Linked DNA regions of Mytilus edulis. The protein of the gene in region 2 purifies or fractionates together with the protein of the main gene of each other region. This does not show direct contact. Links are inferred from orthologs where the notes say so. Each region holds a gene or a part of one and is shown on either strand. Other genes may lie near its edges. The genes, in order: histidine--tRNA ligase, cytoplasmic-like; glucose-6-phosphate 1-dehydrogenase-like.

The links.
Region 1: the proteins of glucose-6-phosphate 1-dehydrogenase-like (region 2) and histidine--tRNA ligase, cytoplasmic-like fractionate together in Homo sapiens (co-fractionation; 3 studies listed by BioGRID). This does not show direct contact. The link is inferred for Mytilus edulis from reciprocal best matches to the Homo sapiens genes G6PD and HARS1.

Annotation. Positions count from the first base shown.
Region 1 is NC_092351.1:44,718,611-44,722,548, reverse strand, and holds the start of histidine--tRNA ligase, cytoplasmic-like, read right to left. Parts: upstream 2,946-3,938; 5' UTR 2,890-2,945; coding exon 2,791-2,889; intron 51-2,790; exon of another isoform or gene 23-50; coding exon of another isoform or gene 1-22. UniProt on the Homo sapiens protein: Catalyzes the ATP-dependent ligation of histidine to the 3'-end of its cognate tRNA, via the formation of an aminoacyl-adenylate intermediate (His-AMP). Plays a role in axon guidance.
Region 2 is NC_092344.1:74,282,258-74,286,195, reverse strand, and holds the start of glucose-6-phosphate 1-dehydrogenase-like, read left to right. Parts: upstream 1-1,308; 5' UTR 1,309-1,400; coding exon 1,401-1,622; intron 1,623-3,938. UniProt on the Homo sapiens protein: Catalyzes the rate-limiting step of the oxidative pentose-phosphate pathway, which represents a route for the dissimilation of carbohydrates besides glycolysis.

The DNA.
Region 1 (3,938 bases), on a different chromosome or scaffold from region 2:
GGAATTTACAAATAGGAAACATGACTTGTAGTGACTGCTTCTCAGCAAATCTGGTAAATATAATGAACCAATTCAGAAACACAGAATTATGGGAAATTTAAGTTTTGGTGATACAATTTATCATGATTATCATGTTTATTGTTAAATGCAGATTAAACTGATTTGTTTGAAATTGTATTTAAATCCCCTTTTTATTTATATGAAATGATCCTTTTGTAATAAATGACATCTTAATTTACACCTTTTTTCACCTGTTTCATTCTATTCTAACATTGTATTCTGCCTCTGTCATGTCTGTGGTCTCTATCTGCTAGAGGGACACATATGTGTCTACATGATTGTGTAAGACATGTCACATATTTCAATATTTTCTAAATTACACAAGCACCTGTTCATTATTGTACATGTCATGCATGTGTCCCTTTCAAATAAAGCACTGAAAATTATACAGTGTAATCTTTTTATATATATTTGGTCTCACATATGACTTCATAAGGGTGTGATCAGGGTTCTCAAAGACTTGTGTAATATTAAATTTACCATGTTTACTCAAACGTTCAGTTTTTCATGAGGTTTTTTTTTCTTTAAATTTGAACAGGAACTCTCAGTTTCTCACCATGCTCACTTGGGCAATATTCTTCAAACATAAAATGGGTAACCAAAAGTTAGTTCTAGTACCATATGATAAGACTAGGACTTCAATTCCTCTTAGAAACATAAAAATGGGTTACAAGTATGTTTATTTTAAAATAGCAGGAAATATAAATGCAATGTGACGATCAGTGCACTAGAATGGGGACATGATTAGAATTCCCTTTTGAATAATGGCTGGATCTACACTTTAATTGTCTGAAGAAATCAGTCTGTGGTTTCTAGTCAACAGTTTTATTATTGAAATACTTGACATGTGACAGCTAGCAGTAGAAACTCTGAATGGATGAAGACATTTATCTTTCAATCAGTTTATTTGAAGTCTGGAGCTGGCATGTCAGTTAAATGCTAGTAGTCTGTTGTTATTTATGTATTATTGTCATTTTGTTTATTTTCTTTGGTTACATCTTCTGACATCAGACTTGGACTTCTCTTGAACTGAATTTTAATGTGCGTATCGTTGTGCGTTTACTTTTCTACATTGACTAGAGGTTTAGGGGGAGGGTTGAGATCTCATAAACATGTTCAACCCCGCCGCATTTTCGCACCTGTCCCAAGTCAGGAGCCTCTGGCCTTTGTTAGTCTTGTATTATTTTTAGCTTCTTGTGTACAATTTGGAGTTTAGTATGGCGTTCATTATCACTAACCTAGTAATATATATTTGTTTAAGGGCCAGCTGAAGGACGACTCTGGGTGCGGGAATTTCTCGCAGCATTGAAGACCTATTGGTGACCTTCTGTTGTTGTCTGTTTTAAGGTCGGGTTGTTGTCTCTTTGACACATTCCCCATTTCCATTCTCGATTTAATTTGTCAGATTTGTGCAGTACTCTTTACCATTTAGATCTTTTGGTAAATACAACTGTTCAAAGGGGGGTCAGACCTATAATCAGACAGTCCTATAATCCGACAGTACTGTAGTCCGACAGTCCTATAATCCGACAGACCGATAGTCAGACAGTCCTATAATCCGACAGCCCGATAGTCCGACAGTCCTATAATCCGACAGCCCGATAGTCCAACATACAGTCACTTGTCTGTGAATAAAGACATGGAACGATTGTAAATTATTTTTTTTTTACACAAAAAAACATGTGTCAAATCGATCAGCATGACGTCGTCATACCTGTAAAACTGACCCGTATCCTGCGGGTGTAACCTGAGAAAAATAGATAACCCGGGAATTTTGAAAATGACCGGTTTTCACCTGGATTCAAAGCCTTCAGACTGATATCATCATGATATTAAAGCGATTGCAGTACCTGTAAATTCGTATTTTTCCTTGGACAAGAAGTTCTACTATAGCTGTGTAAACTCAAATTAACTGACCCATTTCACTTTCAGTGCATGGCTTCACTTGACAGCTTGTGTCAAACACACTGTTGATTAACGGACTGTCGGATTATCGGACCGTCAGACTATCGAACTGTCAAACTACTGGACTGTTGGATTTTAGGGGTGTCGGATTATAGCTACGCTCCCGTTCAAAGTGTGACAAGTTCTGATTTTAACTGCAAAACTGTTCAGACATTTTGGTTGATTTTATTCAAATCAAGGATATAAAAAAAGTTGGAACTCTGACATGTCAGTTCTGTACCATATTTTGGTTACAGATTTATATGGGGACGAAGTCCCCAATAACAGTAGAAAATTCAATAAAAAAAAAAATTCGGGAAAATTTCCCGAATTTTTCATTGTACTAATGAACTCAAATTCGTTTATTTTTTTTTATGTCATGTTTTGAAATCCCGGACCTGCGCCGAAATGTACAATATACTTCCTTTTTCCGGTCTCGTTTGTATGAAACTTTGAGTAAAATATATATTTATCAGTCTAGTATAAAATAGGAAGAAACGCGCAATATCAATTTCATTTTTAATAATTCCTTGATATGAAAAAACGTTACCTAATGATAGCGTTTCTTTGTTTACATTGCATATGACGTCATAATTTAAATAACGTCACAACTAAAATCCCTAACAACAGAACCAAACTCGGAAACGTTACGGTATTACCGTTTCTTTTTTTTTTTGACAAATAATTAAGTTACAAAAAAATAATTCATACAGACTTCGTCCCCATTTACAGGTAATGCCTGCCTCATATTATTGTATCAATTATTCCAAATTAATGGTAGTTAACCTGCTGTGCTTCAGCTTTATCAATCTTTAACTGTCTAACTCTTTCTCCTTGTAAACGAATCTGTTCTTGCAACTTTTCTCGGGAAGTGTCACCGTCCATGCCGCTGATGCAACTATGATGTATAAAGAAGAAAATCGATTACCGGAAGTGGATATGAAATGGTATATACAACGACCAAACACACAAATAACAACCAGTAAAGAACTCATAAACTCATCATAGATACCAGGACTAAATTTAGTATATTATACGCCAGACGCGCGTTTTGTCTACAAAAGACTCATCAGTGACGCTCGAATCCAAAAAAGTTAAAAAAAGGCCAAATAAAGTACGAAGTTGAAGAGCATTGAGAACCAAAATTCCTAAAGTTTTGCCAAATACAGCTAAGGTAATCTATGCCTGAGTATTTCAAAAAATTCAAAAATTTGTAAACAGTAAATTTATAAATATAACCATATCAATGAAAATTCATGTCAACAAAAAAAGTGCTGACTACCGGGCTTGTCACACCCTCGGGAAAATAAATCTCCACCAGCAGTGGCATCGACCCAGTGGTTGTAAATAAACTCATCATAGATACCAGGACTAAATTCAGCCCGGTATATACGCCAGACGCGCGTTTCGTCTACAAAAGACTCATCAGTGACGCTCGAATCCAAAAAAGTTAAAAAGGCCAAATAAAAGTAGAATTTACCTATTTACCTATTTATAATTCAACAAAAGCAATTAATAAATCATTCCCGGTGATATGACAAAACAATAAATATAAACAATATTAATGGTAAATTGAAAAGTTCGTTTATTGAAATATTAATAAAACGTCTTTAACTAAAATAAGTGTATTATTAAGAATTAAACTAAAGAATACAGAAGTTGGAACGTGGAAACTGTAAATTCAACTATTCAACAACACATTAAAAAGTAAGAATAACTCTTTGTAAAAGTATATATAAGTATAATATACAAATTATGAAATAATGATATCGAATATGAGTGAAATTAGATTTCTAGAAATTAGAAACTACGGACGACGAAAGACGACGGACACCAATTCAGGAGAAAAGCTCACTTCGCCCTTCTGGTCACGAGAGATAAAAAGTAATTACGAACCAGGTTTAAGTACTCTCAGCATTTGAAAACCATGATTT
Region 2 (3,938 bases):
GGATGTTTCCATGTTGAACCTTCACGTATATATTATGTTATCTTACAGTTGTATTGGTCTTGATCAGATGTATCTTTCCAAGATCGAATACGACTGTAGTTGGACATAAAACGAGATCAATTTGAAAACACCTATCAGTAAAGTATCATGAAAGTTTCCTTGTGAAACAGTACCCAAATCAGGAAAGCAGCAAGTATTGCTGTTTATATATGATGTATTCATAGTCTCCTTGGATACGTGTTTGCAGAAAGATTGGAGAATTCAACGGTACAATATAAAAATACCATGAGTACGGAGATGTGGAATTGTTGCCAATAAGAGAGCTATATATATATATGCACCAGAGTTCAAAGCAATATAAAGTGGATGTAAGCACGTATAGGTAACCATACTGCCTATAAGTTTCTTTTAAATGCCTTAGTCCAAGTTTTTGTTAAATTTACCATAACATGTGGTATGAGAAAGTCTTTTAACATGTAATATTTTGATAGGTCAAACCACAAAGTAGCCACTCTAAAATAAGCCACTCGCATACCAGGATCATCATATGCCACCTTGCATGATTTGGAATATTTATTTTTAGAGATTTGGATAAGGAAACCAATTTTAAAAACCACATTTCCATGCAGTTATATCAGTAAACCCTGAAGCCGATTAACTTCATTTTATTTTCTATTGCAAGGTAAACGAAAATATGAGACAAAATTTATATAATGATATACAATTAGGTGATGAACATTTTATTCATTATCCTGATGATCAAAAATTATTTTATCCATTTCCTTTAGACATGTTAGAATTATTGGGGTTTTTTTGTTGTTGTTTTTTTTTATTAAAAGGTCATAAGAACTGAGGGCAGAGGTCTTATTGTAACATGGATATCGAATATTGTAATATCGAAAATTTATCACTTATGTTTTGGGGTCTATTAGACATGTTAGATTAACTTTCGTATATTATTTTTTTTTTTTTCTTTTATTGTTTGTTTGTTCTTGTATTGCCACAAACATTGTAAATGTTTAATGACAATTAATGAAATTATTATTAACTGAAATATCATCTGATTCTTGCAAAAAATAATTAAACAAGGAACGCCACGATATACATTTCTGACTTCTTTTACCTACTGCAAGTGTAACTAAGGATCGATATACAGTTTGAAACAGTAAATAGATATATATATATATATAAAATCAATATGAAACTATTCTCCGTGAGAACATCAAGTTCTAGATAATGACATGAAGTTGAAGTGTTTTTAAAATAAAGGTCACACAATCGGTTAATTTTTTGTATCATTTAATATTAGGGACATTAGTCAGTAATCGGATCATGGATTAAACCCTTGATATGAGAAAGTATTGACCATTGATACCAACAGCTTTCAGACACAGAAATTAATGTACAGGCAATACAAAAAAGAATTAGAAAAACAGAGGGGTCTTAAATGTGACACGCCCACTTTTAGGGAAACGGAAGTCGACATTTTACTTCCTGTAGCAGACGAGTATTTTGGAAAAATGGCAGTGCAAGGGAAAGTTGATATGCTTTCCATCCTGAGGGATGAATTAGCCTATGAGGGTGGAGCAGCATCTCATGTTTTTGTTGTTTTAGGTGCATCGGTAAGTACACTTTGTGTTGTTAGTCCCTAAAAACGATGACATTGATCTGAAATGTCATTGTTAAATGCTTTCAGTTGTACTGCATTTCTTCTTTCTCATTTCTTTTAGTTGTACAAGATATTTGAATTTTATCTCCCACATGCGCTATGCAAGTAAGAGATTAGATCAAACGAAGACACATAAGAATATTCCTGTTTGACAGTCATTGTGCAAATTGTTTATCTTGTTGTTTACGCTAATGCACATATACATGTACACATAGATTTCTATGTATTATAAAGTGTTGTTTTATTTCTTGTCCTATATTTTGACACTACTAGTTTATTCAACTTGCAAATTCATTCCAATGAGTCAATCTAAAGTTTGATGATAATTCAATAGTCTGTTAAATAATTTCTGAATAATTACATGTATAAAAAATGAAATGGTAAACATTTTTAATGTTATGTTTTAATGTTATAAGTAATTGAAGTAACAAGATACATTGTACATAAAAAATAATTTTTTGACACTGGTTATAAAAGAAGACACTTGCAAACCCTAGTTATCCTTAATTATGATAGAAATGATTGAAATTAACAGGATTAAGGTGGAAAATTTTAATAGATTTTGAAATTTGTGACACATCCCCATGCTAGCCTAATGTAGGCATACTACCATATAGTAGCTAGCAGGGGATATACATTTTTGAACGCATCTTTCACATCATTTTTAAGGTTGTAACCTTAACATGCTTAAAGCAAGATGAATTTTAAGAGTCTAGCTGATCCAGTGATATGTACATCATTATCTGTTTCATATACATTTGTACTTAGACATTTGAAGGGTCTCTATCAGCATGATTAGTAAAAAAAGTATTATACAAATCCTTAGACTTTTCAAATCTTTCAACATTACATTTCTTTCCGTTGAATTTCACAGCCGAAAAGGGCAGACCAGGAAGTAAGTTTTACTTCTGAAATAACTACTTTATCATTGTTTATTGATTACATGTACAATGAGAGTAACACAGTTACTTATACAACTTATCTTACCTGAGGCCAATAAAAGGGTGGACCATACTGAGTTAAAAGAACGCTGTAGTTTGCTTATTAGTCTTCTACTGACAAAGTCGAAGGGGACTTTAGGTTTGCAGTCTGTCTGTCTGTCCACACTTTTTAAGTTCATGCTTGAAGATTTTAAATTTTGTTCCGGTCTGATGATTTTGTGCAGTGATGGCTCTTGAACTTAATTCACTCAAACAATCTGTTTTCTGCACTTTTTTTCGTCATTCTTGAAGATCTTGATTTGATAATGGGTATATAGTGACATTAAAACAAGTTACAGTTCATGTTTGAAATGTTATGAAACGTATACACAATGTTTATTACCACACAATACAGATCAAGATTAAATTTTGCTGGTGTGGCTTCAATAGTTCTAGAGTTATGCCCCTTTATAAATGGAAAAATTCAACATTTAGTTCTCTTACTTAAGTTTGCATAAACCAAATGTTTTGAAACTTATACACAATGTTCATTACCACAATACACATGATACAGATCAAGTTTGAATATTAGTGGTGTGACTTTAATCGTTCTAGAGATATGCCCCTTTACAAATGGAAAAAGTGGATGAATTTTTAGTTTCTAACTTTAGTTTGCCGCAACTAAATGTTGTGAAACTGATACACAATGCTTATTACCACAAACTCAGATCAAGTATAAATTTTGGTGATGTGACTTTAACATTTAGAGTTATGCTCGTTTATAACTTTATACATGTTATATAATATGCAACTGCAAGCAGGGCATCATCTTTGTCCCATTGACACATTCCCCATTTATTTTCTTCATGCTGTAAGATATTGATTTTGATAAAAGGTATACAGTTCAAGTTTGAAATATGTTCTGGTCTGATGATTTTGTGCAGAGTTAAGTCCCTTGGACTTAGAAAATTCACTTATATAATCAGTTTTCAATACAATGTTTTTCGTCATGCTTGAAGAAATTGACTTCATATTTGTTATAATGTTTACACAATGACAAGTTATAGATCAAGTTAGAATTTGGTTCTAGTACAAGGAATTTTTAACTGGCAGAGGACTACATGTATATATATTACTGTGCAACACTCACAGAATGCTTGATTATCATTGTTTATAGTAATTTTATACTCAGTAGCTTATTGATACCTTTGAAATTGTGTTTCAGACATTAGCAGAGGTAAATGGTGGCAAATATATGCAAATTTGTATTTAAATGAATAATTATTTTTGAATAGACCAATAGCATTGTAAGCTGATTGTTGCCCCCTCCTCTTTTTTGTGCTATCATA